Arabidopsis thaliana: one gene and its partners. The protein of the gene in region 1 binds, or shares a complex with, the protein of each later gene. Each region holds a gene or a part of one and is shown in the gene's direction. Other genes may lie near its edges.

Region 1 (8,147 bases):
CTGGTTGACCCCAATCTGAGTTTTGCATAGCTTTCAGAGCATTGAGAGTGTCTAGGTTCTATTGCTTATGGTCATCTGTATATATGGTTCTTATTGCCCCATTTTGTGGTTTAATAGCTTTCAAGCATTGTGAACTTTAGGCAGTGTCTAGTTTCTGTTCTGTTTCTTGTTATATTTCTGACTACCTAGTAGGTAGACCCTTTTAAGTAGGTCGCAGGATATGTGGATGATTCTCATTGATACTAATTTCTGATTTGCATAGCTTTCAAAGCATTGAGAGTCTCTAGTTTCTATTGCTAATGGTCATCGTTGTGTATGTATATAGCTTAAAGGTTGATGTCTTGGATGCAGAGGAACAATTAAGTGCCTTATTCTCTCTAGTCTAGTAGTTATTTGCCTTGTAACAATCCTTTGTTATGTTACTATTTGATTTGAGGTTGTTTTATGTATGTAAAATCCAGTACCTAATTGTCTTGGTAATAGAATCTATAGATGTCTCAAAATCGGTCCGATTTTCGATTGTCAACACAAATGGTGCAAGATTTTGCTTTCTACATATATACTCTTTTCTTAAAAAACTACCTCAAAAGAACCTAATTGTCTTGGTACTCTTTTCTTAAAAAACTACATATATATTCAAAAAAACTACCTCAAAAGAAATTGTTTATCGTTTCTTTTTCAGTATTTTAGTTATCTGATAAAATAAAATAAAATTGTTTTTGGGTCCTCCACTATACATATGAAGAAACTTGCACATCACCATTCAGTTTGGTCACATGAGTTAATATTAATGAAAGCACTCGATTAACAACAAATATCATTAATCAAACTCAGTAAATTATTTATACATAAAACGAAATTTTATTTTCAATAGAAACTACTGATGTTTATTTCTTCATATCCTAATTTGTAACCTCATATTCTTTTGGTAAACAAACAAAACCATCAAACATGCAAATAACCGTTGGAATTCTAAAACTTATTAAAAGAATTTTTGAAGAGAACCATTTTGCTTTGAAAAAGGCAAAAAGGGTCAGAGATAATACGACATTGACTGCAGTGTGTATAACGGCTCCAATTTCAAAATTACTATCTTTAATAAAATAAATTAATTCCACTTTGACCCCATTATTCTTCAAAGCTTACAATTTCACCCGACTTTTCTTAATTTTAGAAAGTAATGGGTCCTATCCGAATACTTTCTGAAATAAAAGAACTTTTGTCTGTCACAAATCGCATTACCAAACAAAAAAGTTTGAAGTTTTGAATCTTTTTGTCTTCTTACACAAAAGACATTCCCCTAAAAACTCTCTTGTTCTTGACTCACTTCTACTTCAAAATCTCTCTGTTCTTCAAAATTCTTTGTCACAAAATGGGTTGCTGTCTCAGCAAGAAACCTTCCCCTTCTCTTCCCTCTAGTGTTAAACCCTCAGATCCAATCAAACCCATGGAACCAGTGATTGAGCCTTTGGAGGAAGAAGCAAAACCCAAATCTGAGAAACTGAATCAAGAAGAAGAAGAAGAAGAAGTTGTGGTGATAAAACACACAAGAAGCCATGAAGAGAGATCCAAGAAGACAGAATCAGATAAAGATTCTCCAGTTTCTTCTCCTGTGGCGGCTGAGAAATCGAATTCTACACCGCTTGTGAGAATCTCTAGCTGTACTAAAGAAGAAGTTGATGCTATATTGATACAATGTGGGAAGCTAAGTAGAAGCAACTCTGCTGCTAAAACAAGAAGATACTCTGGTTCTAAAAGAAGCTTTGATTTTGACCAGAACGAGAGAATCCGCGGCGGCGATGCGGCGGAGGAAGACGGAATGCAGCGAAATCGTCACCGTGGAGTAGAGAGAGTGCATGGTTCGCCTCGTGAACGGAGAAGACGAACTCCGAGTAGAGAAAGAGAAAGATCGGGAAGCAGAGAAAGAGGAAATGTCGGCGGTGGCGGCGGTGGTAGTAGGAGAGTGAGTAGATCTCCGGCGAAACGTTCTGAGATTCGTAACGCTGATTCGTGTGGCAGTTCGGTAAATTCGAGTAATAATAGACCGGGAAAGTTTGTTACGATTCCTGCAACGGATAAGAGTAACAATGTAGAGCCGTTAGTAAAACGGATTACGGTTAAGAGAAACATCGGAGACGCTTGCAGAATAGCGGCGTCTCCGAGGTCAAAATCTCCGGCTAGAGCGGGGAATAATGTTCCCTCGCTAAGCCGGAGTAATTCAAGAAAGGCGGAACAATCTCCCTATAGAAGAAATCCATTGGGAGAGATTGATCAAAACACTAAGAAGATGATAGAATCTGTGAAACCTAATTCAAGAACAAGTAGAGGTCCAAGCCCGAGTCGTGTTGCTGTTGTAGAACTTACGAAAGCTCCTCAAGTTGTGTTAAGCAGAAGCAGATCGTTGAGGAAATCTCGAGATTTCGATTTGGTATCAAACGAGGATAACAATTACACTGCATTGTTGTTGAAAGATATTCAGAGTTTTCATGGGAAGAGTGTTGATGATAGCGTGATTTCGCTGCCATTGTGTGTTAGTAAAGCTTGTTCAATTGTTGAAGCAGTGGCTGATCTTAACTCTATGACGAACAGAACTTGTTTGAGGTCTGATTCGAGCCGGTTTAGATTCACATCGACGGTGAAGAAAGCCGATCTTATGGAACCGAGTTTTGAGAAGTATGTGACTGTGAAGAGAGGTGGTGGTTCGTTGGAGGAATCATCTGGTAGCAACAATGTTACGTGACTAGGGAGATTCACTTTTAGCAATAACAGAAACTCGTGTTGTTGCGGTTTAATATGGAGAAATTGTTGTTTTGTTTGTCTATTGTTGTTTCCTTTGTTTGGTTTATTTTGTAATTCAGATGTCAATTTGACAATTTCAATGAATCTTCTTCTTATCTTCAGTCTGGCATAAAACCCAAAAAACCTGTATCGGACCCGAAACCAAACCAAATAATCATATAACCGGAGAGACTTTTAAATAATTTTACACGAATTATCCCAACTGAACCCGAACAGAAACAAAAACCAAACAGTATATCTGAAAAATCGAAACAATATCTACATATTCAAAATTATTAGATGTTTTAAATTATAATTATACCTTAACCAATTAACAAAAATATCCAAAAATATCTTAGATATATTATATATATCCAAAATATCCGAAAATTCTTAGTATTATACCTAAACTAAATGACAAAATTATATATTTTTTGTAATTCAATTTTTATTAAAATTTTGAAAAAATATGTAGTTTTTTCCAAAAACCGAACCAAATAATCATAGAACCCAAATATATACTAAATTTTTGTATCGGATGAATCCAAAAAATCTAAACTGAATCCGATCTGAACCCCGAACCATGCATACTTGGTGGATTAAACAGTTCGGTTCAGGTGAAAATTTTCAGAATTGTCGGTTTCGGATAAAATAACTAAACCGGATAAAATGTTCGGTTCGGTTTGAGTATTTCTTTTAACATTTCGTAGTTAAAAGCAACATCCAAAAGCAAAAACACACGCCGGAGAGTTTTCTAAGAACAACAGTGACGAAAAGGTTTTTAGGGTTTCTTTACCAATCAGAATCTCCGCCAAGTAACGATTTTCAGATTCCGAAGCAGCAAAGGTTAGAGCTTTTCCCTCATACGTTTCTTCTTCTGAATTCCTTGAAACCCTCCGGTGAACCAGAACCTGTTTTACATTCGTTTTCTATTCGGTGGTTTCTTTTAATTTAGGTCAAATTACACTGGAATTATCATTTGTTTCTCGTAATTCTGGATTTATGTTAAGTTTGGTGAAATCTCTCGTTGAGATGGATACGAAATCTATTAATTTTTCATTGTTATCCGTAAGCACACCAAGTGTTCGATGAAATTCCTAGTCTAATTTTTAGTAACCTTTCAGTTCAAATAATTTCCGAACTGTAACATGGCGGCAACTACTGGACTTGAGACTCTCGTCGATCGTAAGTTAGTCTTTTTTTTTGCCATTCTCGATTGATATGTGATGTTCTGTCACATGAATTGTCTAAAGATCTTATCTTTTGATTGGTTGCTGCAGAGATTATTTCGGTGATTACAAATGACGGACGCAACATTGTGGTATGTTATACTCTCTTGTGTGATATCTGGTTTAGAACTCCTTATGTCAATGCAAGTATCTTAGTAAAGAGATCGATTTTTATATTTTTTCAGGGAGTTCTTAAAGGTTTTGACCAGGCTACAAATATAATCCTTGATGAATCTCATGAACGTGTGTTTTCCACAAAGGTTAGCTTCTGATTCCTGTTTTAAAGTATTTTCATCTGAACTTTTCGATGTTACTAAATTGAATGGGTGCAAATACATTTTTCTGCAAGTAAATTGGCCAGTGTATGACCTGCAAAACCTTGTTGGTTTGTATCCATGAGTGGCTATGATGTAGCAGAGTTCTCGATGTCTCCATATTTTGTTTGTAGTGATCGCATAAAACTAGAAAAATAGAGGTACTATAAGGATGCTAGTTTATCTTTTGTTCATTGTCACTCAAAGCATCTTTCGTCGTCTGGTATTGATCTTTTAATTGGTACTACGTTCTTGCTAATAATGTACATTGCTTGATTTAGTTGCGTAGTGTCATCTTTTCAACAGAATATTGAGGAAACTTACTCAGATATTTAAGATAGGCCTTGTCCTACAGTTCTTTGTTTGGTAAGAGAATAGTGAATCATGAACTAACTGGCCTCTGAATGGAAGTATCTAAATCAGATAGTGTTGGATACACCGAAACAGATTTAGTGTTAGTATTCTTCGAGTGTTATAACTGATTGAAAAAATCTTGTGAGTTCATATGTCAAAAGATTTAGCTAGTGATAGGTAAGTCAAATACGTAGATATTGGCAGTGTGTAATTAATTATACATGATCACCTCCTTTTTTTCGTAAGAGGGTTAAAGGTTTGATTCATGTCTGTTTTCTTGTTTACACTAAGAGTATGTCAGGTCATGTTGATACTTCATTAGACAAATGTTCTTGGATATTTTTGGTGTGAAGGCAGAGTTCTGTTAAAATGATGGATATTGGAATTAGGATTGAGACCTCTTACTATGTCTTCATCTTTGCAGGAAGGAGTACAACAACATGTGTTGGGTTTGTACATCATCAGAGGGGACAACATGTAATTCTTATCATCCATCATCATCAGTGATTTTCTAACATTGCAATTGTTTTTTTGTTTCAATAAAAAAAATGGTGTCATCTTTGATCAGAGGTGTTATCGGGGAGCTGGACGAGGAGCTTGATGCTAGTCTGGATTTTTCGAAGCTGAGAGCCCATCCGTTGAAACCCGTAGTGCATTGATTGAATATAGTTATGGTGAGAAAATCTAATTCTCTCATTCAAAGCCTAAAAACAAAGAGAAGATTTGATTGTAAACAATTTGGATAGTTTGTTTTGATGTCTGGAGTTGTCTTATTTGTGTATCCTAAGGACAAAAGCTATATGATATTTTATGTCTTAAACGTTTTGGTCGGAAACTTAAATCATACAATCTTTTGGACGGACCTAGGTTTGCTACTAGACCACAAATTCTTTGATTAGAAAAAAAACTTTTATTGTTAACCAAAATTTTATAGATATTCAAATTGCAAAAGAAAAAAAAAAGAGGAATTAGTTTCTGGTATCTTACAAATTATAATGTCGTTGCAATTTCATCTAGAAGGATTATATACATCATCAAATCTATCAACATCAACAAATGGCCGTATTTAAAACTTAGAAGCATCATACATTTTCTATAAGACAACAATATAGATATTAACTTAATATGTCATTCTCCCATAGTCGCATCATACAAGTCGTTGGTTTTGGTAATAACTCGCCAAAACCAAACACTTCTGATTTCATCGGAGTCTTGGGTCTTCTTTTACGATTCCAATGTAATATTCTTCATATTAAGTGATTTATTTCTTGAAATTTTTCATAGTAAGTGTTATCAGAAGCTTTTGATTTTTGGTTATTAATATGAAGAACAAAAGAATTGCGTTCTAAAAATTTTTCGTTGATAACGATTAATATTAAACAGAAACACTACAAATAAATTAACATCGTTGGGGCCTAGGGATTTCGAATGGAATTTTATTTGCAAAAAAAATAATAAAATAAAGCATGTTAACAAAAAAGTAAAAGAAAAAAAATTCATGACGAAATGCATGAGAACACTGCTGCATAAGTCTTAGGGGATTAGGTCAACAAAAGTAAAGTAGATCTTCATCAAATGTATTTTGACTTTATAATGTACCTATTAGTCAAACTATATGCGATCTAAATATTAAAAACTTGTATTTTCTCAAAGACAATGCGAGGCGTAAATATATGAAATTTTATTTTGTAGATTAAGTACCATTTATATATGAAATATAAATAAATCAAGAAGAGTAAACATGAAAGAGCAAAAGAGTAAATAGAAAAAATTATAGGAAATAAAAAGAAACAAATAGTAATTGGAAAATATCTTAAGTGGATATAACTTTTAGTTGTTTGATAATGTATAGGACTACAATATATGTATTTTCCAAAAAGTCATCCTAATTTTTCCATCTATATTGCAAGTAATTTGATACCTACTAATGATTTTTATTTTTTTTATTTGATGGGTTCACATCAAACTCAATTTCCATAAAAGACCGCTACCTAAGCAGACACGCAAATTCACATTACACGTGTGATGTGTTGTATGGAAGCGAATGTACTTGTTTTTCATAATCTATAGGTTCATATAGAGAAGTCTCTCCATTGAAAAGTTCTTCCCTCTTGACTTTAAAAACTCCATAAGGTCCCTACTTATATTAATTTCCCAAACCCCTAAATAAGATCTACAAACAAAGCTTCTTCTTCTTCTTGGTGTCATCAAGATTTTCCAAAAATGTCTCAACACCAAAAAATCTATCCGGTCCAAGATCCAGAAGCCGCAACAGCGCGTCCAACAGCTCCTTTGGTTCCTCGTGGTTCCTCTAGATCAGAACATGGAGACCCATCCAAAGTCCCTTTGAACCAAAGGCCACAACGGTTCGTGCCGTTGGCTCCTCCAAAGAAGAGAAGAAGTTGTTGTTGCAGATGCTTTTGCTACACGTTCTGCTTTCTTTTGCTTCTTGTCGTTGCAGTAGGCGCATCCATTGGTATACTATACCTTGTCTTTAAACCGAAGCTACCGGATTACTCTATTGACCGGTTACAGCTCACCCGGTTTGCACTGAACCAAGACTCGAGTTTGACTACGGCTTTTAACGTGACTATAACCGCTAAGAATCCGAACGAGAAGATTGGAATTTATTATGAAGATGGGAGCAAGATTACCGTGTGGTACATGGAACATCAACTAAGCAATGGTACGTCACTTTTGGTTTACTCCGGTTTGCTTTCTTTTGGTTTTTTAACGTAGGAAGGCTTCAAAATCTCACTACAAAACCGGTTTATTTGGTTGATTTCTGTTCTTTTCCTTTGGTTTGGTTCGTACACAAGGAAGACTTTAAAACTCTTTTCAAATTAGGGATGTCTAAATTTTTTTGGTTGGCTTTGGGTTTACTTTCATTTTGGATTAGGATTGTCAAATACTGTATATCTTTAGTTTCAAACAAAATTTGGTTTAGATAGTTTTTGTTCGGTTCATATTCAATAGTTCGGATATAATAGAGTTAATTCATTCAAATCAATCGTTTTTGGTAGAGTTGGATCATACCGGTTTATCCGGACTGAAAACCCCAAAACTAAACATATTTATTTATGTTGTTTGGTTTTCTTGTTTGATTATAATTCGTTTACACCATTTCAAACCGGGTCTTCTTATAGATTTAACTTCATTGAACTTTTGTGATTTTTTTGAATAGGGTCGTTGCCAAAATTTTACCAAGGACATGAAAATACGACAGTGATATACGTAGAAATGACTGGTCAAACACAAAATGCATCGGGTTTAAGGACGACATTAGAAGAGCAACAACAAAGAACCGGGAATATACCATTGAGAATTAGAGTAAACCAACCGGTTCGGGTCAAATTTGGGAAGTTGAAGCTCTTCGAAGTAAGATTCTTGGTCAGATGTGGTGTATTTGTTGATAGCTTGGCTACCAATAATGTTATTAAGATTCAAAGTAGTAGTTGCAAATTTCGTCTTA
Region 2 (7,937 bases), on another chromosome or scaffold:
TTTCAGTCATATACTAGTTGCAATCTTAATATTTCACCCTAAATTTTTTGTCTCTGAAAAAACCACGAATAAAAACTTTTAATCTCAATAAAATTATATGTACTTTCGGATTTGTTCTTAAACTATGCCTCCAATTGAACCGATCAGTTAACCGATTATATTTAATCCGGTTTGACTTATCCATAATGTTGACCAAAATTAATCGATTTTGACTCTATTTTAATCCAATTTTGACGCAAAAAGAAAACAGATGTCTTCTCTACAAAAAATATTATTTATTTATTATTGATAAACAAAAAATAATATATAGAATAGACCATAAAAAAAATTATTATAAAATTTGGTGTATACTTTTGGCAATATAACAAAATATACCACAAAATAGATCACAAATTCATTTTTTTAGTGCTATATTTTGTTATAAATTTTTGGTAATATAACAGTATATACCTTTTTCATTTGGTAATCATTTCTTTTTTTCTTTTTTGCTAAGAATCTTTTGACTTTACACGCATTCTCAAACTCGAACTAGGGAGGAGACTCACATAATTACGTCTCCACTAATGCATATATCGTCTACTTTGGTAAAAGTCCTATCTCTTGGTCTGCAAAGAAACAAAATGGTGTTGCAAGATCATCCACAGAAGCCGAATACAGAGCGGTTGCAAACACATCATCAGAAATTCGTTGGATTTGTAGCCTACTCACTGAATTTGGAATCATACTACCAGTGTCACCAGTCATCTATTGCGACAATGTCAGATCTACGTTTCTTTGTGCTAATCTTGTGTTTCAATCTCGAATGAAACATATTGCCATCGACTATCACTTCATCCGGGGTCAAGTTCAAAACGGTCTTCTCCGCGTCTCTCATGTCAACACGAAAGATCAGCTTGCATATGCACTTACAAAGCCATTACCACGCAGTCGGTTTCTCGAGCTAAGAAACAAGATTGGTGTGACCATAGTCCCTCCATCTTGAGGGGGCGTGTCAAGGATATGATATGATCATATCATCATTCCCTGTATATCTTATTTCCTTTTCTATCTCTCTTTCTATAAGAGACTTAACCTAGAGTTTTCTACTGATTCATGTATATATATGCTTGTAATCTCCTTTGGAAATATATGCAATACACATTACTTACACTCCTCCGATGACACTTGGACCCTATAGAATAAAAAATGTATCGCCTTGCAAACAAATCCATCCAAACCCAGTCGTGTGGTCTGACGCCTTCCATGATCCATCAAACTGACATCCAATGTTCAAGAACATAAGTTATGAGGTTGTGGAGTCATTTTGTTTCCTCAAGAGCCTCTAATTGTGTCTCCTCCCTTTATAATTGTTAACTTTGAGCATAATTTATAATATTAGTGGGTTCCTCGTAGAGTCTCTTAAACACTTTATCATTCCATGCTTTCCACATAAACCATAAAGTCCATAGAAACAAAATTGAATATTGTGATTTGTGAAATGGCAATGTATAAGTGATGTGGGATGTTAAAATTGATGGATGATCAAGATCGTCGTTTGATGGAAGTGGCCCAACTATTTCTTAACGGGCTTCTTAATGGGTTTTAAGGTTGCCCACAAATTGTGTGCCACAATGTTTGTCGTTGTCGCTAATTAATGGCTTCGTTAATTAAACACTTCTAATAATTCTCCAATGGAGTTTACGTGACTCTACAGTCTCTCTTCTCCATTCTCCAATTTCTACAAAGATAATGTGGATTCACCAAAAATTCAGAGGAAGGACACGACAATGGTGAATTCGTACGTTCCTCTTCGTTTCACCATTTTCATCTCCTTCTCCATCGCAGCAGCTTCATCCTTCAAACTCCACTCCGCTTCTCATTCTCCGTCGTCATTTCCGAAAGCCACCGGCGACGATCTACTCTCCGTTCTCGGACCTCCCTCCGCCGCGTCGTGCCTCAACCCAATCGTCTCTCGAGAGATCAAATCGTGTCTTAAATTCCTCGTCCCATTCAAATCGGATAAACCTAAACCCGAATTTGGACGATGCTCGCCTCGTACTGGACTCTGTTCCGGAAAAATTGACGCCGTTGAGAGACGGAGCAAGTTTGAAGAGGAGAATTCTCTAATCTGGTGGCCACCGGAATCGGTTCTAGAGCTTGCTCGTCTCGCTGTTGACTCCGGTGGTGATCCCGGTTCAATTCAGCGAACTCTCAATCCGAAAATGATCCCGGTTCGTCTTCAATTTAATGGTTTGATTTGGTTTATTGTTCGTTAGATTGAATTGGTTAAAATTTGGTTTTATAGGTTCCTGATGTTGAACGATCAAGAAAAGATAAATGTCAACTTACTAGAACTCCTTATGGTCGTCATTTTATAGCAGAGGTAAAAAAAGAAGCTATTTTGTGAACTGTTTGATCTTATGGTGTAGTGATCTGATTGATGATGTTAATGAACAGGAAGTGAACTCATATTTCGAGTTCTTGTTTCATCTAATTGAATCTAGGGGACCTAGTGTTGGATTGAATGTTTCATTGAGTAGATATGATTTGTTCCATGGCCATTTATTCCTTGCCTCAGAATCTGGACGCCTTGGAATATTGTAAGTCTCCTTTGTCTCCTCAACACACACTAGGACTCTTGAAATAGTAATGATGATCATGTTCTGTTACTGACTTCGTTGTGTAAGAATCGAGACGCTTTGATAGGCACTAGAATAGTAGATATAAGGGGGTCTAGACCATTTGGTTAATTGGGAGCATTTAGGCTTTGAGAGTGAAGAGAACTCTCTAGGGTTTGTTCTTGTGTTCTTGAATGTAACCAACAGTTATCAATAAAGGAAGAATGGTTTCTGATTCTTAACACAATTGTTGCAGTGTTTTTAGAAAGGTTGAACGTAAGTAATGAGTTTTGGGGAATATTTATAGAAAGTTACATGGTTGAGCTAGGTTTTGAGTACTGTTGTTGACTAGTATCTGATTGGTGATGGTAGGTTTCATGCTAAAGAGTATCCAGCCTATGACAAGAAAGTGTTTCCTTACAACATGGGATATTGCCAGAGAGGTAATATGGGTTCTTGTCCGTGTGACTGTGAGTTTTCTTGCAATCTCTTGAAACATAGAAATGGTCACAGAAATCCCTTAAATCTTCAGTATTATGATTGTATCTCCTTTTTGTTAGGATCTGACGTGAAATACAATGATTCAATGAACTTGAGGAATATCCTTTGGCTTGCACCATTACCTAGCAACTCTTCTCCAGATTGGGTTGCTCCAGGTATAATATCTGTTTTCATCTCTGAGAGTAATAGAAAAGATCTAAACACTTCATAGTTTCAAGATGATCTTGTCTTTCATTAGTATCGTGGAAAACAATTGTAGTGTTACGTTTGACATCTTCCTTTCCTTTGATTGATCTGTAGGTGTACTTGTGGTTCTTGATGCGCATCCGGATGGAATCATATACCGAGATCTCATCCCTGACTATGTTAAGTTTGTAAGAACAATATACGAAGGTTTGAACAACTCTATACCTTCTCTCATCTCACTCATCAATTTGCTTCATTGTAGATCACATTTGATTACACATACATACACTCAAAGTCTCTTAAAGATTTATGCTCTATTGAAACTTTATGTCTTATCCTTCTCCACCAGATGATTTGGGAACAACCGCAGTTGATGTCAATTACTTGAATGTCGGAGCTCACGAACCTGACTATCAGCTTTTCATGTGCTGAAACAAACCAGTTACAGATTCACAATTACACAGTTGTGTGTAATTGAAACTTTGATTAAGATTTAGTTACTGGAGCTGGTCGAGGTTCAATAACGTTCGAGTTGGTTGATAATTTAGAGAGGTCTGAAGTATTGTCGGTTACAAAATAGCTTTAACAATCACATTGCTGAGGCTTTAAGCTTAATTGTAAAAGTTTAGGATTAGATTTGACATATCACTTGGCTTTGTTTGATTCACACAGTTCGCCTTAGTGATGTAAATTAATTAATTTCGAGAGCATCAATAACATATTAATGATTAGTTATTTTCCACCAGGTAACCATTGCCAACGGCTACAAATACACTTTGGTGTAGACAAAGTATACGAAAAATTAAAACAAAAAGCTCCGATGCCGGGAATCGAACCCGGGTCTCCTGGGTGAAAGCCAGATATCCTAACCGCTGGACGACATCGGATTAGTTGGCTAGATTGATATGTTTAACAATATATACTAAAACAGATAATATTATAAAGTTAAGGGACTCGAGTGCAAAACTCAAAAAAGTTCCCATTGACCTAAAACTAAAAGACCACCGATTCATTAGAAATCCATCCCTCTCACTGTCAAAACCCGAGAAGCAGAAAAAAGCAAAAAACAGATTTCGAAGTTTCGACGCCTCTCTATTCTTCGATCTCTTTCATATTTGAATCGTTCACCTTCTTGCCGATCTTCGGAGTATATTACAAGGTTTCTCCCTTTTCTCTCAGATTTTTTTTAGTAGCTGAATTAGGGTTTTTGTTCCGTTTTCGCTATTGCTTCTTCCGCATCTTATAAAGGGTTTAATGTTATACTTCTCTGATGTCATCAGGTTCTTAACGGATCTCTAAATCTTCTGATTTAAGAAGATGGTAAGTTACTAGACAAACTTAGGGTTTTTTTCCTTCTTTCTTGTTTGCGTTAAAGTTTCAATTTTTATTAACTGAAAGCTGTTGTTTTGATTTTATAGCTTCCTCTATCGCTGCTTAAAACTGCTCAAGGGCATCCTATGGTGAGTAAAATTTCGACCCTTGATTACAATTTTGTTATATATGAAGTGAAGCTGAGTTTAAGTGAGCATTGCATTAGGGATCTAAAGGAACTTCCTTTTACTGTAATTTTGAATCTTGTTTTGTTTTGGTAGCTCGTGGAGCTTAAGAATGGAGAGACATACAATGGGCATTTGGTGAATTGTGATACTTGGATGAACATCCATCTGCGTGAAGTCATATGTACATCAAAGGTTATCTTATGTTTTCATATGTTGATACAAATATACTTTGTTTAGACTTCGTGATGAAATTTTGTGTAGCTGACACTCATATATTTTGCTGCTTGATTACTCTAGGACGGAGATAGATTTTGGAGGATGCCGGAATGTTATATCCGTGGTAACACAATCAAGTACCTTCGAGTTCCGGATGAGGTAATTTTTTTTTGTGTGTGTGTGTATATATCTCTTGCTTGATCTAGTTTTTTCTTTGTTCCCCTCTCTCTGGAATGATGATGCTTAGCCAAATCAGATATGTGCTCCAAGAGGCATTTTTCTGTGGAACCTTGTTCAGCAGATGGTGTGCCTCTTGTTGTAGTGCGTCTTAGACGATATCACAGGGAATGGTTATTGCTGACCAGAATGTTGACCCACTTTTATGGACTTTGCTGTGTTGTGTTTCTGATGCGATTTTTCTCTATTGTTTCTACTTTATTTCATTCCCTCTAAAATCAAATTATATTCACATACCATAAACGATATCTTCATCTAGAAGGACAGTCATATGCTGTTTCTATTTATGTTCTTACTGCTGCAACCTAGATTGAGTTAACTGACTTAAATTGATTTCTTCTCTCTTCAGGTGATTGATAAAGTACAGGAGGAGAAGACACGCACAGGTATAGTATTACTCATGTCTATATTGTACCTTTACTGAGATATGCTTCGAGTTTTCTGAGGTGTTAATATTTTGCCAGAGTAGACATTGAGAATACTTCAGGTGTTAATAACGATGGTTGAATATGTGCAGATAGAAAACCACCAGGTGTTGGACGTGGAAGAGGACGTGGTGTGGATGATGGAGGAGCCAGAGGCAGAGGCAGAGGAACTTCAATGGGGAAGATGGGTGGCAACAGAGGTAAAAAATACACAAACAAAGCTTGTCACAAAACTCTGATTTTACTAGAATACTTCAAATATCTGTGTCTTGCCACAATGGGATTTAAGCTAAAACTCTAATATGTTATGAAAAACAGGAGCAGGTCGCGGCCGTGGTTGATGCAACAAGTTTTAAAGACTCGCTGCCAAATCTGCTAACTTCCCATTGTGGAGAAAACCAAAAGTTACATAAGAAGTTGGTCTGTTGTTGGTTTTCTATTAAGTATGTAAGGGATAGGGAGTGTGTTTTTCGATTCTCCTTGTGATCTTTTCGAAAAATGAAATTTGTCTTTTGCCTTTTTGTGGTATATGTGAAATTCCAATTGTTTTCATTTGCGCTTAAAAATGAATCTTTCAGGTCTTGAATTTATATAATTGTTAGAGAATTTATACAATTAACCAACGACAGGGTTTTTATAAGATCTTTGGTCCATCTTACCCTTTTATTATTTTTCTTTTTTTCCTATCTATTCTTTTTTTCCTCTTTCACCGGATTTTCTCCATCACTCGTCGGCATGACATATAAGATTAGATATGATTTAAAAAACGCATGTATTTCAAAGACAAAACATGCTCTTAAGTCTTTACATTGACTTGTAAATTTTTGTCAAGCTATCTAACAAAATCTCATATTTTTTTTTTGGAACAGATTCATATTTTTGTCAAGATTTCATGTTATATAAACAAATTACATGTCTTTTATCCAATATATCATTAGTATTTCATAAAATAACTATGTTTTAATGTAATAATTATACATATCTGTCAATATTTCACGTTATGTAAGGAGTCATATGTATTTCTTCAAATATCATGAAAATTACATATTTTTCTTCACTGTATTTTTACAATTGAATTTTCCTCTTCTCAAATCTATCGGAAGTCTTATTGTAATATTAGAAATTGATAAAGATATTTTCGTCAATATACACCGTCTAACGTGTGAATCCATAGTTCTTTTCTAACAAAAACTAAACTTATGATTAATATCTTTATTTAATCTCAGAATTTGGCTATCTAGTAATAACAACCTAATTATTATCTGAGTAAATCCCTAGAAAAAACTAGTAGTAATGGAATTTGCATGAGAATATGAGTATTTTGGTCATTTATTTTATTTTTCTCAATGTAAACTTAAATATTTATGGGTAAACAAAAAATAAAATCATAGAAGATGATATAATTAAAGATTTGCGAACGAAAATCTCATAATCAAATCTCTCTCTTCTGACACACGAAATAATGACGATAATAACCCTATCCCGACACAATCTCTGACATAAAATCAAAGCATTTAATGCTCAAAATCTCTATAAAAAAATTCATGCATCAGAATAGTTAGCAGATAACGTATTATCAGGATAACATGATAACAAATATCTCGGTAATATTTATTAGGTTAACATGATAACAAATATTTATATCAATAAGTTTATAATTATGTCATGGTAAGTCATTTTGTATCGCGATAAGTTATAATTGATGTGATATATATAGATATTTACCATCTTAACTCATTTATTATATCATAATAAAAAATTAACGAGTTACTATAACGTACAAAATATGAATTTCATCCAATAACATTATTATTATCACTACCTCTAGATAAAGTTTTAGTTAACTAGGTAATTTAATTGTTAACCAATTTGAATCTGAACAAAAACTACCATTGCGTAATCTTCAACCACCACATCTCCGCCGTATTCTTCTCACCCCATCATTTCAGAACCATTTTTTTCCTCTACCGCAAACCCACACCCTAATCGATTTAGAACTAGATCTTTAAACGATTGAGAGAAACTGCCGGTAATTCGCGAAACTTATTTGGATTTATCGACCAGAACCACAGAGCTTTGAACGGAGACTGGAACTGAATATCGGAAAAAAGAAAAACAGAGTTAAGTTGAATCGAATCTATATGAGAGATATTATGTCTCTCGTCTCTGACACACGTTACTGTGTATCTTATATATTACTTTAGACTGGATAGACTGTGTAGGGGCTTATAGGTCATATTTTGTGTACAAAAACCATATAAACAATGTCGAAAATA
Region 3 (7,336 bases), on another chromosome or scaffold:
AGGTTGTGTGAGACAAAAAGAAAACCATGGAGCCAACTAACGATGCTGAGACATTGGAAACTCAAGGAGAGGTTACAACCGCTATTTGGCCGTCATCTCAAATCCTCAAGACGACTATCGATATTCCGGGGACTCTCAGCCATGACGGCAGATACATCCAGTACAATCTATTTGGGCATATCTTTGAACTCCCCGCAAAGTATAAGCCACCGATTAGGCCTATTGGCAGAGGTGCTTGTGGCATCGTTTGGTAATATCCTTTTAACAGAATTAATAGTTTCATTTCTTTTCCTAATCATTTTGAGCACTTTAGAATGTAGATGCCATGACCATTTTTGTGTGTAATTTATGGTTTGGGTTGATAAGTTTCATCTTTTTATGAGAAAAGTTCAAATCGTTTCTATCATAGAGATCTCTAAACAGTTATTATACCATTCATGACTTTTATGTTATTCTTGTTACTTTTAAAATTTCCTCACTTGACACATTAGTTTTTACTTTTCTTTTTAACTTTTTTTACAGTTCGGCTGTGGACTCCGAGACCAATGAGAAGGTAGCAATAAAGAAAATAACGCAAGTATTTGATAACACTATCGAAGCAAAGAGAACTCTTCGTGAAATCAAGCTTCTTCGTCACTTCGATCATGAGAATGTTCGTTTGATTTTATAACTATTGTCTCACCTTTTTTCTTTTATTTTGTTATTCATTAAAAGCTAACTATGTAATATCATTTTTCTATAGATTGTTGCAATCAGAGACGTAATCTTGCCTCCTCAGAGAGATTCATTCGAAGATGTTTACATTGTGAATGAATTGATGGAGTTTGACCTTTATCGAACCTTAAAATCAGATCAAGAACTAACCAAAGATCATGGCATGGTGTGTGTTTAGAGTTATTGTTTCTTGAAACTTAAAAATCATTTTGATTAGTGAGCTTGACACAATCTTCAAATTTTTGGCAGTATTTCATGTACCAAATCCTGCGCGGATTAAAGTACATTCATTCAGCCAATGTGCTACACAGAGATCTAAAACCAAGCAATCTCCTCTTGAGTACACAATGTGACTTAAAGATTTGTGATTTCGGGCTCGCTCGTGCAACTCCTGAGAGTAATTTAATGACTGAGTATGTTGTCACAAGATGGTACCGTGCACCTGAGCTTCTGTTGGGCTCTTCTGACTATACCGCAGCAATAGATGTTTGGTCTGTTGGCTGTATTTTCATGGAAATAATGAACCGTGAACCGCTCTTCCCGGGGAAAGATCAAGTTAATCAGCTTCGTTTGCTTCTGGAGGTAGTAAAGTAAAACCCTTTGTTGTGCCAAGATCATATTCGTTTTTTGTGATTCATGATTAGCTTAAAAAGTCTTGGGACATTGTTTTGCAGCTCATTGGCACTCCATCTGAAGAAGAGCTTGGATCGTTGAGTGAATACGCTAAGCGATACATAAGGCAGCTTCCTACGCTTCCTCGCCAATCTTTCACTGAGAAATTCCCGAACGTGCCTCCCTTAGCAATAGACTTGGTGGAGAAGATGCTAACATTTGATCCTAAACAGAGAATCTCAGGTCAGTTTCTGTCTCCATATAGCCTCTTCTGCAGTTTTATTTGGATTCTTATCATCAGTTTTGCCACTTTGCAGTTAAAGAAGCACTTGCTCATCCATACCTTAGCTCGTTTCACGACATTACCGATGAACCAGAGTGCTCAGAGCCCTTCAATTTCGATTTAGATGAACATCCATTCTCTGAGGAGCAGTTTAGAGAGTTAATCTACTGTGAAGCCCTAGCTTTCAACCCTGAAACCAGCAATGATTGAAAAGGACCATATCTTTGATCCTTGTTCTGTTTTTTTCTTTTCCTTCTCTGCTTTTCTTTGAATAATTTCCCTTTTCATTTCCTTTAATTTTTTCATCTCTCAGAAATTTTGTTGTGCTAAGATTTTCTGCTAGATTCCCTTTTGATGTTGTCAAATTTCATTTTTAAGCAAATAAACTGAAAAACCATGATTCTGTGGGCATCATTGCGACTTTCAATCCAACAAATATTAATACATGAGCTATTGTCAAAAATATAACATTGCAACAAGGAAGAAAGCAATCATATCCTACTTTGAGTATTTTGATTGAAGACAATCTTACTCTTTGTAATAGTTCATTTGCAGTTTTGCTTTTGTCAATTCTTCAAATTGCCAAAGAATCTAGAGAGTGGTACAGGGCCATCGGTTTCGTGTTTACTTTTGCTAGAGTGTTTGTCTCTGCTGGACTTGTGCTTCTTCTCCTTCTTTGATCTTTTCGAACTTGATCTTGATCTTCTAGATTCATCTTCATCACTGCTAGATGACGACTCTGAGGACGAATAATGCTGCAAATTCATAACACAACCGATCATGGTTCATGTTAGCATAAGCTAGAAAACCTCACACTATCTGATATAAGCTAAACTTTTAGAAGGCACCTTTCTCTTTTTGCTTTTCTTCTTCTTTGAATCTCTGTCTTTCTTATCTGCGAGGTCATTGAACCATTGGCGACCAGTTAATAACGTCCTCAGAAAGAAGGTTTAGATGTCATGTTAAGTTAAGTGGATTATGTTTACCTTTTCGTGACTTATCACTAGAATAGTTCCTTCCTTTGGAGAGTTTCAACGACCTTTCTGCATCCAGCTGAGCTCTATACTCACGCATCAGTTTATCGGTATCTGCTTCAAGTTCTCCCTTTTTCAATTCTTCTTCCTACACATGTTACACGAAAGAAAGATATAATGTTAAACATTTCCTAATGTTCCATACTCACAATACAGAGAGACTGCTGCAAGTAGTAGTAAAAAACTGATATTGCAGATAATAAAAATGTTTAAAAAATGAGCATGACTAGAGTTACTTGAAAACCGCGAGATAGGGATAGATGTAATGTAGAAGGAAGACACACTCATTTTTATATAAACACACAAAGACTGCGTATCTGTGGCTGAAGATGATAAACAGCAGAGGAAAAGAAAATGATATGTTGGAATAAAGCTTCTAAATTGACGACAATAATAGCAATCTTATGAACACTAAATCATCAATGGTCAATTGATTATCTTCTATGGCATTATAACAAGGAACACCGTTCCATACAACATACAGAAGAACTTAAGTATTAAAAAGGCAAAAAGATTACCTTTTGCTTCTGCTTATACTCTTCCCAGGTAATAGTATGTGTAGTCTTGAGGCTAGCCAAACGAGCCGCATGCCACTCTGGTGTATGAAATGAACCATCCACCTGAGACAATCCTCATCAGAAATGTTCCGGTACCAATGCAAAATATCAAAGTTTGACTAATCCAAATGCTTCTTTGTGTTCACAGCTTACAACAACAATAAAAAGACTCTTGAATCACTGTAACACAAACTCTGATGCTACACTTTTACGAAATCACATTTAAACATGGACTTGATATCGTCTACAAGACCTAGCAGGTATTAGATACAAGTTCTTCCCCCAAAATTGGGACTCATAAAGGATCTCTTGTAGGCTTAATTCTAAATGCAGCTCGATAACCCAACAACACAAAAGATCAACAAAACCATAAGTAAATCAACCAAATTGGAATTTTGTTTGGAGAAGTAAAAAAAAACAGAATCAATTTGCAATGAAGAAGATGAGAGTATGAAAAGGTACAAACCATTCCGTCTTCAACCTCATCCGGCTGGGCGGAGCTGGAACCAACCCTAGATCTCTGCATAGCCTTGTAAGCTTGATTCTTCCCCATAGCTAATAGAAGATTTACCCCACAAGAAACAGTCCGCAAATTCCTTGCAGGAGAAAGAGAATTTAGAGAGATTGAGAGGAATTGTTTGTAAAATCTAGGGTTTGGGGGATTAACGGTCCAAAGGGAGAGGATTTAGGGATCTGTAGAGAAAGCAAACGAGAGAGAGACGAGAACAGAAGAAACTGTGAGGTCGAACCGAAACGCACTGGAGATTTAATTTCACCCTCCAAAGTAAAATAATAAAATCTATAAGGACTAATGTTCAATTATTATTAGTTTTAATATGAAAACTCGATCGAATCGAAATAACAATAATCATATAGTATATAGTTTTGGAAATAAATAATAAAAGCCCTTAGGACCGATTCGTTATTTCTTCGCTCTCTCTTTCTCTCTGTGTCTCGTACTCGAGTAGGTCTCAGGTAAGGAGTTCTTCTTTCAGTTCCTTTAATCCTTGTTAAAGTTTCGATTTCTCTTTACATTTTCAATCGAATTCGCTTCTATTGGGTTGAAGGTTTAGGTTTTTAGGTTTCGGAGTCTTTTTGTGATTCGAGAGATTGACTCTGAATGGTTTTTACCTTTTGAGTTTTTGTAGTTCGAAGAGCGACCAAACTGATTTCAGATCTCAATTGTTTCTGCAGTTACGTAAAGGATCGAGCTTAAAAGATGAGTGGAGTTGAAGAGAAAGTTTCTGGAACGACAAAGACACCTGCAGATTTCCTCAAATCCATCCGTGGGAGACCCGTTGTTGTCAAGCTCAATTCTGGTGTTGATTATCGAGGTGCCTCTCTCTCTCGTTAGATGTTCTTATGTGTTTTGCAAGTTCTCTATCTCTGCTGCACTTTAGGTTAGAAGCTTTGACTTAGGACTAGTTCTTTTGTCTATGTTAAGGGAATTAAAGAGTTGCTTGTATTAAGCCCACTTAAGTAACTTAATTATCATGTTATGTCTTCAGCTTTTAAATGATTCTTTTAAAGTCAATATGTGAAGCTTTTCTTACATTTTCTAAGGTTTCCTTGTGAACATTGTTCAATGGTTTTCTTAAGAACATGTTCCTTTCTGCCTGCAATAAGGTTACAATAGTTGACTGAGATATTTGAATATTTAAGTCAGTTTCTCTCATTATCAAGGCTACTTATATCATTCTTGTTGACTTCTTTCCTTTCGTGCCCGAGTCAGTTTTGTCTATGTTCTGTTCAAGCTTAATGTTGAGTTCTTGATCAAGTTTTTATTACTCTTTTCACAGGCACTCTTACTTGTCTTGATGGATATATGAACATAGCAATGGAGCAGACGGAGGAGTATGTAAACGGGCAGCTCAAGAACAAATATGGTGACGCCTTTATCCGTGGAAACAACGGTAACTAAAATCTCTCACACTCATCCTTCTCTCAATCTTCTTCTTTGTATATCTTTCTTTTTAAGTGTGGTTTCTTTGGATGCAGTTCTTTACATCAGTACAGTAAACATGACTGTAGCAGACGGAGCCTAGGCCCATCATGATCATCAACAACAACAACAGTGGTCATGTTATGGCTGCCATTTTTGTTGTCTTCTTCTACCTCATATTAAAAGAGTAGTAGACATGTACCAAGATTGTCATCCTATGTTCTTCAGTAGATTTTTGGGATACAGACATCACTTTTTTCTTAGTAATATGATACTCTTCCATGTGACCCCAGATAAAGAAGAAAAATTATTAATTTATGGCTTGATACAATCATACAAGCAAACAAAATTGAGTTTGGGTGACCAACAGATCGAAACGAGGAAGATCATTAAAGTTTAGTAATCGAATTATGTCATTTAGGGATCACTGGAAACACACATGTCAAACTAGTATAACCAGTCAATCATCAGATTATCATATTCATAGCCATCGACACATTTGAATCAGGAGTTTCCATTGAAATAAAACGCTCAAGATATCATTCTTGGCGTAATGTTATTTTTAATCTTCAACCTCTTTTCACATTACTAGCAAAAGGTCTCGTATTCTTAGCCGCTTGTATATGTAAGTAGCCTGCTTATGTCTAAGCAGCAAAACATGAAGTAGAGCTTCTCTCAATAAAACTCTCTTCACTAGTATTAAAAAGTCTATGTGTGTCTTAAAATCATAGTATTATTTCCTTCAGCTTGATTCTTCTTCCGTTGCATTTTCTTCTGGCTTGCTTCCCAATCTCCCCAACCTTACAATGTCTTCCACCATAATTCTTCCCTCTGTTGAATAACAGATTTATAAAAAAGATCAACTTCAGGGAGATAAGAGCTCAAGAAGGAGAGGATCGCTCTGTTCTTTACCTTTATCTTTGGAGAGACTACTGATTAGTTGTTGAAGGCCGTCGTTAGCGAGTGTGTCTTTCAGGTACATTGCAGCAGCCGCAACTTCATCAGGTGTGACTTTTCCATCTCGATCTCTGTGTTCATTCAGATGTGATCACTTTAGATTCTAAGTCTCGGAAACAGAACACTCAAACAGAAAAATGGAGTCTATATACCTGTCAAGAAGCTGCCAGCCTTTGCCAATTTTGATATCCACATCATCAATTTCCTTCTCTAGGTTTTGTATCAGACCATCAACCTTAAAAAGTATGACCGAAGAGTAAGCCTCTTAAACAAATCTCATGGGACTTTAATAGTCTTAAAAACCGATTTAAAATCTTCTTACCTTCTCCATTAGTGCAGAGGAAACCTCGTCTGCTTCAGCAACTTCATCAGCTTGGTCAATATCTACTCTAGCTGCTTTGTATGCCTTCATTGCAGCTTTTTCACCATCTACATCTTCTCTCTCGACCATTGTGTTATAGAACTCCACCTGGAGAAACAGAAAAACAAAGTCTTTCAATCTACGACACAAAGTGCTGATCAAGCATTGGTGGACAGCGTACCTCTTTCTTGACCAATCTCAGGAATTCTTCGCGCTCTCTACACACCGACTGTTTATATCAAAAGCAAACAGAGTATCAAATAAATATCCAATAAACTGCTCTGCATACCCATTGTTGATAACCATAGACTCATTTTTCTTACAGAAGCGGAAGCCAAAACGCCCAAGGCGCGGCTAAGTTTGCAAAGATCATCTTGTTGTTCAAGAACTCTAGCTCTGGCCTGTTCTTGTGCTTCGCTGGCTGTTGGTATGGTCATCTCTTGCAGTGCCTTATCCTCGTCACCACCTTTAACATCCTTAATCCTTGTAAGCTCTTCTTCTTCTTTCTCTTCTTCTTCCTGCAAATATAATAAATACAAAATGTAAAATCTGGAGCAACCAAAATTCGGTTTCTCTAACTTCCTCAAGCAAGCATAATCCAATACAGTCAAGTGGTGTATCAAGACCTTGATCAGTTCTTCTTGCATCTCAAGGTACTCTAATTTCCGTCTTCGCTCAGAAACAGGGTCTTCAGATGGCAGAGAAGTAATACCAACAGTATCCACAACCTCGTCAGGTAGAGAAGAAAGAGTAGCTCGGACAGCATCCTCTGCTTTAACTCTTCCAGCAACCGTGAATGCCCTGAATATAAATTGCTCTTAGAAATTTCTTTGCAATAAAACTGATCGAAGAACAAAAAAATGACAGCAAAGAGTA
Region 4 (7,875 bases), on another chromosome or scaffold:
TTTTCCCTTCATCAGACCCAACTTCCACCGCCTCTCACCCTCCTCCAGCACCACCTCCTCCGGCCTCACTCCCAACTTTTCCCGCCAACATCTCTTCCCTTCTCTTTCCGACTCACAACAAACAATCCAAGCCTCCCAGCAACGGCCACATCGCTAGGCTCGTCACCATAACCGCCTCCGTCATCTCCGCCGCTGCTCTCCTCTCTCTATTCGCCGTCTTCATCATCTTCATCCGCCGAACTCGCCACCGCCGCCGCTCCTCCCCTGCAGACGACACCAAATCCACGAGATCAGACGCTCTTCAGCTCTTCAACGCCTCTCCTTCCGACGGCTCTAAGAAACAGAAACAACATCAACAACCACCAAAGTACACTTCCTCACACACTTCCTCTGAGTTTCTCTACTTAGGTACTTTAGTAAACTCTCGAAGCAATGGTTTAGAGCAGCAAAAGTCTCCAATCTCCCTCTCTGGCGGTATCACCGGCGTATTGGAATTACCTCCTCCAGCTTCGTCGTCTTCTTCTTCTTCTTACTCACAGTACCATAAGCTAGGCTCGCCAGAGCTTCGTCCTCTTCCCCCTTTACCAAAGCTCCAATCTTTCACTCCCGTTTACAAAAGCACTGAACAGTTAAACCCTAAAAGACAAGACTTTGACGGAGACGATAACGAAAACGATGAGTTTTTCTCTCCGAGAGGATCTTCAGGGCGTAAACAGAGCCCGACCCGTGTCTCTGATGTTGATCAGATTGACAACAGGAGTATCAACGGCTCAGGCTCGAACTCGTGTTCGCCGACTAATTTTGCGCCGTCGTTGAATGCTTCTCCGGGAACAAGTTTGAAACCTAAGTCAATTAGTCCTCCTGTCTCGCTGCACAGTCAGATAAGCTCAAACAACGGCATTCCGAAGCGGCTTTGTCCAGCGAGGCCACCTCCACCACCTCCTCCGCCGCCACAGGTCTCGGAGGTTCCGGCTACTATGTCGCATTCCCTTCCTGGTGATGATTCTGACCCAGAGAAGAAAGTGGAGACCATGAAACCAAAGTTGAAGACTTTACATTGGGATAAAGTTAGAGCAAGCTCGAGCCGTGTTATGGTGTGGGACCAAATCAAATCAAACTCCTTTCAGTAAGACATAACGAATCTGAATTAAAGACTTGATCTATCCTTTTGCATACACGACTAAGATATGATTCTTTTGTGTTTTTGCAGAGTGAATGAAGAAATGATAGAGACATTGTTCAAGGTGAATGATCCAACTTCGAGAACAAGAGATGGCGTTGTTCAATCCGTGAGTCAGGAGAATCGGTTTCTTGATCCAAGAAAGTCACACAACATTGCTATTTTGTTGAGAGCTCTTAATGTAACTGCTGATGAAGTATGTGAAGCTCTTATAGAAGGTGAGTAATTTCCAATCTGTTGTTGCTTAGGTTACTCGCACTTACTGCAACATTGCATTGGTTTGATGATTCCTCAAATTGGTCTGTGATTATTGAAGCTTGACTTGTTTGACTTAGTTGATGTCTAATCACTTTCTTGTTCATGAATCAGGTAACTCGGATACGCTTGGACCCGAGCTTCTCGAATGCTTGCTTAAGATGGCTCCTACTAAAGAAGAAGAGGACAAGCTTAAGGAGCTTAAAGATGATGATGATGGATCTCCTTCCAAGATAGGACCTGCAGAGAAATTCCTCAAAGCATTGTTGAACATTCCTTTCGCCTTCAAGAGGATTGATGCAATGCTTTACATTGTCAAGTTCGAATCAGAAATCGAGTACCTTAACAGATCCTTCGACACTCTCGAGGTAAAACTCTACTTGTCCACCTCATAAGTGTATGTCTGCTGATCAAACAGATCATTCATATGCATTTGATCAAACTCTCAGGCTGCTACTGGTGAGTTAAAGAACACGCGGATGTTCTTGAAGCTTTTAGAAGCCGTGCTCAAGACTGGGAACCGGATGAATATAGGAACCAATAGAGGGGACGCACATGCTTTCAAGCTCGACACGCTCTTAAAACTGGTAGATATCAAAGGCGCGGATGGGAAAACCACCTTATTGCATTTTGTGGTTCAAGAGATCATAAAATTTGAAGGAGCTCGGGTTCCTTTTACTCCGAGTCAAAGCCATATAGGCGATAACATGGCCGAGCAATCCGCATTCCAAGATGACCTAGAGCTCAAGAAACTCGGGTTGCAAGTCGTTTCAGGTCTCAGCTCTCAGCTGATTAACGTCAAGAAAGCAGCGGCAATGGATTCAAATTCCCTCATCAACGAAACAGCGGAAATCGCCAGAGGAATAGCGAAAGTCAAGGAAGTAATCACGGAGCTAAAGCAAGAAACAGGTGTAGAGAGATTCTTGGAGTCAATGAACTCGTTCTTGAACAAAGGTGAGAAAGAGATCACAGAGTTACAATCTCATGGAGACAATGTCATGAAGATGGTTAAAGAAGTAACAGAGTATTTCCACGGGAACTCGGAAACTCATCCTTTTCGCATTTTCGCTGTGGTCAGAGACTTTCTGACGATTCTTGATCAAGTGTGTAAAGAAGTTGGACGCGTAAACGAGAGAACGGTGTATGGATCCATGCCACTACATTCGCCATCGAACCAGACCGCCACGCCTCTGTTTCCGGTGGTTATCAATAACAACTCACGGCTAAGTCCATCGGGTTCTCTAGACGACGACGATGGCTCGTTCTAAGTGAAAACTGTTGGCTCGGGTTTGGTTCGGTGTATGCTAATGTTTTGGTTTCATTTGCTACGTACTCAAGTAATATATGTGTTATACATATTTATATTTTTATTGATAGGCGAATTTAAATAGATTTTGGCAGATTGTTGCAAGTTGCTATCATCGGGCTCTGTACGTGTTCCAGTCCTCTGTTGAATTATTTATGTCACGTGTAGATGTATTTATTGATCTAAACCTAAAACGATAGAAGAACTAAAGTCTTGTGAAAAGTTAAATTATTGCAAGCTATACTATTTACAAAATGTAAAAAAAGAAACTGAAATTATTCTTTTGTTTGGTTCACATTAGGCATTTCCAAATTGCTGATGTCAAACATCTTTGCAAAGTTCTTCTCCCAACGAATTTTGAAAATTCACCATTTTCACGATTAAAATTTTAAAATTGACTAAAAAGTTTTAATCTCGCACATAATTAAACCACAATAAAAAAACTTGGACTTCGGATTGTTTTCCATGTGGGCTGATTCGAATTTGGGCTTGGGCCTTTTTAATTGTAATTTTATTTTTACTTATTTGTAAATGCGTCACATGTCTTCTTCGCTCTGTTCGGCTGCTTCATCGAGCGGAAGTCTCTAGCCAATTACCGTTTGTTCGTGGACTCGAGGTTCGTTGTTCTTAGATTTCCCAGACTCATCTGTTTCTGCAATCCATTTCAAAGTTTCTCTTTTTACTTAATCCAAGTCATTCGCGCATTTCCTAATTGGTCTGAGGTTTAGGGTTTTAGGGCACATAGTTTTGTTTGATTCGGGAGTAATCGTTGAGATGCTACGAGTTTGGTATTCAAGATGATTCCTTTTCTCAAGGTCTTTATGTAATTTGATTGATTTATGGATCTCGAATTGCTGACATGAATTTGTTGCTTAAAGTTGTTGGCTTTGTGGGATATTCTGAGGGGTCTTGTTTGATTTGGATCTAATTTGGTGGGCAGATATTGTGGTTTCTTAGCAAAGAAGATGAGTGGAGTTGGAGAGAAAGCTTCTGGAACAACTAAGACACCTGCTGATTTCTTGAAATCTATCCGTGGTAAACCAGTTGTTGTCAAGCTCAACTCTGGTGTTGATTATCGAGGTCTGTCTCTCTCTCTTTCTGCATTTTGTGTTCTCCTCTAAGATGTATCCAGTTCAAATTCTTTTTTTTTTTGCCTTGTGTGATGATATCTTATAGTTTGCTTCTGATTTTCGGTGGTTATTAAGCTATCGGAAGTCTATGTAAACTTCTTTATCACTTTGGGTTTAGATGTCTCAATGCCTTTCTTTCTCGCCATGTTACTGGAACCTTTGGATGTTGGTTTACAGAATGACTCTTTTCTTTGTCTAAGAACTGCTTGCTTGATTCTCATTTGATTTGAAAGTCCCATCTCTGAAGATTCATTTTTGTTGAGCTTGCTTGTTTTTTCCCTATCTTGTCTCTGTGTTTGAGAAGGAATAATACATTTCGGCTTGAGATATTTGCTTTGGATTTTGAGAAATATAATCTAGATGAGCAGGAAATTAACATACGGCTTTGAAACATATGCTTTTTGGAATTTGAGAGGAATATTAGATTCAGATGATAGCTTTGTGAATTGAGAGAGCTTCTCTCATGAGATAACAGACCCAAATGTGGTTGAATTTGAGATGCATTTACTCTTGCTTCTGATAGAATATGGACTCTCACCTTGCTATGGAGCCTTTATCACCTGAAATTAAGACCTTGGTCTCTTGAACTCTATAATATAACTTACAGGACTAGGAGAACTTCTAGCTTGAATATCTTTCTTTGGTTTATCTACAAAAGTCAGACTTATTCTTTCTTTGGCATATCATGTTGTATCAATCTACATATGACACTTTGTCTCTCTTCTTGTTTGCAGGCATTCTTACTTGTCTTGATGGATATATGAACATCGCAATGGAGCAAACCGAAGAGTATGTAAATGGCCAGCTGAAGAACACATATGGCGACGCTTTTGTCCGTGGCAACAATGGTAAAAACCAAATCACATTCATCATCACTCTTTAAATCGGTTTAGTATGTTTTTTTATATCCAATTCTGAAAAATATGCTCTATGTTGGCCACAGTTCTTTACATCAGCACAACAAAGGGGACATTGTCAGATGGAGCATAGCTCTCTTTCATCACCATGAATGTTCATCTTCTTCTCTACCTCTGGCATATGACAAATGTAGGATTTGTAGCAACCAGAGTTTATCACCACTGCATGAATTCGACATGTCTTTTTCTTCCGCAACTCAGTTTGTGTCTAAATCATCTCCAAAATTCTGAGATATAGCTAGATTTTTATTTGTTATGAAATTTTTTTTAATCACTGTTGGTCTTTGGAGCCTAATTATCGTGTTTTGATGACGCAATCACTGCGTCACAATCTGATGTCATCTTAACAATCATTAATGTATTTTTTTTTTCTTTTCTCGTAATATTCTTAATTATTCTTCGACAGCAAAGGTTTAAAAACTCCTTATTTCAATCATTAATGTATTTATGATTTGATCGAATAACAATAATATAGCTTATTTTGTTCTATTCTATCGTATTTGATTCTTCTTTCGTTTTTTTTTTGTTTGACTTAAGAAACCGATTGTTTATAGTAGTAAACATTTGTTTTTAATGTTGCTCGATTCCAGTGCACATGTCCAGGCTAGACACTTGTCGTTATAAAGGTTGCTTTGGTTCAATATTGATCCACTAGAGATGTTACAACTATTGTTGACATCTGAGATTGTGTGATAAGAAAATATGAAACTGGATTTAGTGAAAGTTACAATATATAATCATACATCATAGATAGGAAATAAGGAAATGTCAGATATACTTGAAGAATACATCAAATAGACAAGGTCCTTTTTCTTATTGTCGACTATTATAGAGCCGTACAGAACCTTTTCACGTCTTTAGTAATTAGTACATTCTCCATTTCGGCTCTCTCTTATTTTTTTTCCATCTCTTTTACTTCTCCAAATAATAACAATAAAAGCTTCGATTTTGTGTGTGTTTGTATTTACATCTTGACATCGATATTCTTTTCATCAATTTTTTACCAAAAATGTAATAAAAACAAAAAAAAACCAACGCTGAACACAGACATGGTTTCTCCATCCGTTTATATTCATCGTTTGTATGTTTACTTAACAACTTATTTCAAAATAGTACATATCATGGTTGTGTTTTTAAAAAAAGTATACAGAACAGAAAAGCACATGGTAGACAAAATAATGAAGCCAAAATTAATACAAAGAAGAAGTTCAACTTGTATTTATTAACACATTTTCTTTCCTTGTCAAAGACATGCAAATTGGTTTTGTTTTCTTATTCCCATTTTTTTTTTATAATAAAAAGAAGAAGAGTAAAACAAAAAAACTATCATTTCTTCTTATCGCAAAACTCTTATCTAAGCAAGAAACCGACAAAACCTATATCTACATATATTCTCATCAACATCTCTTGAGACATATTCATTTTGGTTAAAGCAAAAGATTTTAAGAGAGAAAGGGGGAGAAGTGAGAGAGATGGAGCATAAGAGAGGACATGTATTAGCAGTGCCGTACCCAACGCAAGGACACATCACACCATTCCGCCAATTCTGCAAACGACTTCACTTCAAAGGTCTCAAAACCACTCTCGCTCTCACCACTTTCGTCTTCAACTCCATCAATCCTGACCTATCCGGTCCAATCTCCATAGCCACCATCTCCGATGGCTATGACCATGGGGGTTTCGAGACAGCTGACTCCATCGACGACTACCTCAAAGACTTTAAAACTTCCGGCTCGAAAACCATTGCAGACATCATCCAAAAACACCAGACTAGTGATAACCCCATCACTTGTATCGTCTATGATGCTTTCCTGCCTTGGGCACTTGACGTTGCTAGAGAGTTTGGTTTAGTTGCGACTCCTTTCTTTACGCAGCCTTGTGCTGTTAACTATGTTTATTATCTTTCTTACATAAACAATGGAAGCTTGCAACTTCCCATTGAGGAATTGCCTTTTCTTGAGCTCCAAGATTTGCCTTCTTTCTTCTCTGTTTCTGGCTCTTATCCTGCTTACTTTGAGATGGTGCTTCAACAGTTCATAAATTTCGAAAAAGCTGATTTCGTTCTCGTTAATAGCTTCCAAGAGTTGGAACTGCATGTTAGATCTCTCTCTATCTCTTTCTTACAATTCTTAAACCATCTCTTGTTCTTGTGCATGTACTAACTGCTCTTTTTTTGTTTACAGGAGAATGAATTGTGGTCGAAAGCTTGTCCTGTGTTGACAATTGGTCCAACTATTCCATCAATTTACTTAGACCAACGTATCAAATCAGACACCGGCTATGATCTTAATCTCTTTGAATCGAAAGATGATTCCTTCTGCATTAACTGGCTCGACACAAGGCCACAAGGGTCGGTGGTGTACGTAGCATTCGGAAGCATGGCTCAGCTGACTAATGTGCAGATGGAGGAGCTTGCTTCAGCAGTAAGCAACTTCAGCTTCCTGTGGGTGGTCAGATCTTCAGAGGAGGAAAAACTCCCATCAGGGTTTCTTGAGACAGTGAATAAAGAAAAGAGCTTGGTCTTGAAATGGAGTCCTCAGCTTCAAGTTCTGTCAAACAAAGCCATCGGTTGTTTCTTGACTCACTGTGGCTGGAACTCAACCATGGAGGCTTTGACCTTCGGGGTTCCCATGGTGGCAATGCCCCAATGGACTGATCAACCGATGAACGCAAAGTACATACAAGATGTGTGGAAGGCTGGAGTTCGTGTGAAGACAGAGAAGGAGAGTGGGATTGCCAAGAGAGAGGAGATTGAGTTTAGCATTAAGGAAGTGATGGAAGGAGAGAGGAGCAAAGAGATGAAGAAGAACGTGAAGAAATGGAGAGACTTGGCTGTCAAGTCACTCAATGAAGGAGGTTCTACGGATACTAACATTGATACATTTGTATCAAGGGTTCAGAGCAAATAGGTAACTCACATACAGTAGCAAAGGTCCTTCTATAATATCTTGTTTTGTACGTCTTTCATTCAGCATAATCTTTTGTTGACTTTTCTTATGTTGTATGTTCAAATCCCCATATTGCTTCTTGTTGTATGTTCAAATCCCCATATTGCTTCTTGTTGACAATAATAATAATAAAAACAAT

Evidence for each region.
Region 2: LSM8 (region 1) and emb1644 share a complex: the UniProt entries of both Arabidopsis thaliana proteins name them as parts of the heptameric LSM2-LSM8 complex.
Region 3: LSM8 (region 1) and LSM6A share a complex: the UniProt entries of both Arabidopsis thaliana proteins name them as parts of the heptameric LSM2-LSM8 complex.
Region 4: LSM8 (region 1) and LSM6B share a complex: the UniProt entries of both Arabidopsis thaliana proteins name them as parts of the heptameric LSM2-LSM8 complex.

Annotation. Positions count from the first base shown.
Region 1 is NC_003070.9:24,431,650-24,439,796, reverse strand, and holds LSM8 (Small nuclear ribonucleoprotein family protein), read left to right. Parts: upstream 1-3,502; 5' UTR 3,503-3,555; exon of another isoform or gene 3,556-3,624; intron 3,625-3,902; 5' UTR 3,903-3,926; coding exon 3,927-3,963; intron 3,964-4,058; coding exon 4,059-4,099; intron 4,100-4,192; coding exon 4,193-4,267; intron 4,268-4,610; coding exon 4,611-4,687; intron 4,688-4,968; coding exon 4,969-5,020; intron 5,021-5,099; coding exon 5,100-5,152; intron 5,153-5,243; coding exon 5,244-5,334; 3' UTR 5,335-5,594; downstream 5,595-8,147. Other genes in the region: AT1G65710 (serine/arginine repetitive matrix-like protein), read left to right, coding at 1,373-2,740; AT1G65690 (Late embryogenesis abundant (LEA) hydroxyproline-rich glycoprotein family), read left to right, coding at 6,899-7,361, 7,860-8,147. UniProt on the Arabidopsis thaliana protein: Component of the nuclear LSM2-LSM8 complex which is involved splicing nuclear mRNAs. LSM2-LSM8 binds directly to the U6 small nuclear RNAs (snRNAs).
Region 2 is NC_003076.8:9,811,303-9,819,239, forward strand, and holds emb1644 (Small nuclear ribonucleoprotein family protein), read left to right. Parts: upstream 1-4,197; 5' UTR 4,198-4,443; intron 4,444-4,564; 5' UTR 4,565-4,601; coding exon 4,602-4,604; intron 4,605-4,702; coding exon 4,703-4,744; intron 4,745-4,876; coding exon 4,877-4,975; intron 4,976-5,080; coding exon 5,081-5,158; intron 5,159-5,227; exon of another isoform or gene 5,228-5,365; intron 5,366-5,585; coding exon 5,586-5,622; intron 5,623-5,753; coding exon 5,754-5,861; intron 5,862-5,979; coding exon 5,980-6,002; 3' UTR 6,003-6,316; downstream 6,317-7,937. Other genes in the region: AT5G27710 (T-box protein), read left to right, coding at 1,767-2,210, 2,285-2,362, 2,437-2,579, 2,970-3,040, 3,158-3,253, 3,399-3,491, 3,634-3,716. UniProt on the Arabidopsis thaliana protein: Component of LSM protein complexes, which are involved in RNA processing. Component of the cytoplasmic LSM1-LSM7 complex which is involved in mRNA degradation by promoting decapping and leading to accurate 5'-3' mRNA decay.
Region 3 is NC_003074.8:22,092,422-22,099,757, forward strand, and holds LSM6A (Small nuclear ribonucleoprotein family protein), read left to right. Parts: upstream 1-4,047; 5' UTR 4,048-4,175; exon of another isoform or gene 4,176-4,394; 5' UTR 4,395-4,419; coding exon 4,420-4,534; intron 4,535-4,999; coding exon 5,000-5,113; intron 5,114-5,198; coding exon 5,199-5,245; 3' UTR 5,246-5,545; downstream 5,546-7,336. Other genes in the region: MPK10 (MAP kinase 10), read left to right, coding at 27-250, 523-652, 743-880, 964-1,296, 1,389-1,569, 1,644-1,819; AT3G59800 (stress response protein), read right to left, coding at 2,176-2,364, 2,458-2,504, 2,596-2,731, 3,162-3,263, 3,667-3,753; LETM1 (LETM1-like protein), read right to left, coding at 5,868-5,971, 6,055-6,170, 6,252-6,334, 6,422-6,568, 6,642-6,689, 6,784-6,978, 7,087-7,261. UniProt on the Arabidopsis thaliana protein: Component of LSM protein complexes, which are involved in RNA processing. Component of the cytoplasmic LSM1-LSM7 complex which is involved in mRNA degradation by promoting decapping and leading to accurate 5'-3' mRNA decay.
Region 4 is NC_003071.7:18,146,019-18,153,893, forward strand, and holds LSM6B (Small nuclear ribonucleoprotein family protein), read left to right. Parts: upstream 1-3,178; 5' UTR 3,179-3,357; exon of another isoform or gene 3,358-3,556; intron 3,557-3,681; 5' UTR 3,682-3,706; coding exon 3,707-3,821; intron 3,822-4,605; coding exon 4,606-4,719; intron 4,720-4,814; coding exon 4,815-4,861; 3' UTR 4,862-5,277; downstream 5,278-7,875. Other genes in the region: AT2G43800 (Actin-binding FH2 (formin homology 2) family protein), read left to right, coding at 1-1,126, 1,211-1,398, 1,550-1,803, 1,885-2,703; UGT74F2 (UDP-glucosyltransferase 74F2), read left to right, coding at 6,261-6,884, 6,972-7,697. UniProt on the Arabidopsis thaliana protein: Component of LSM protein complexes, which are involved in RNA processing. Component of the cytoplasmic LSM1-LSM7 complex which is involved in mRNA degradation by promoting decapping and leading to accurate 5'-3' mRNA decay.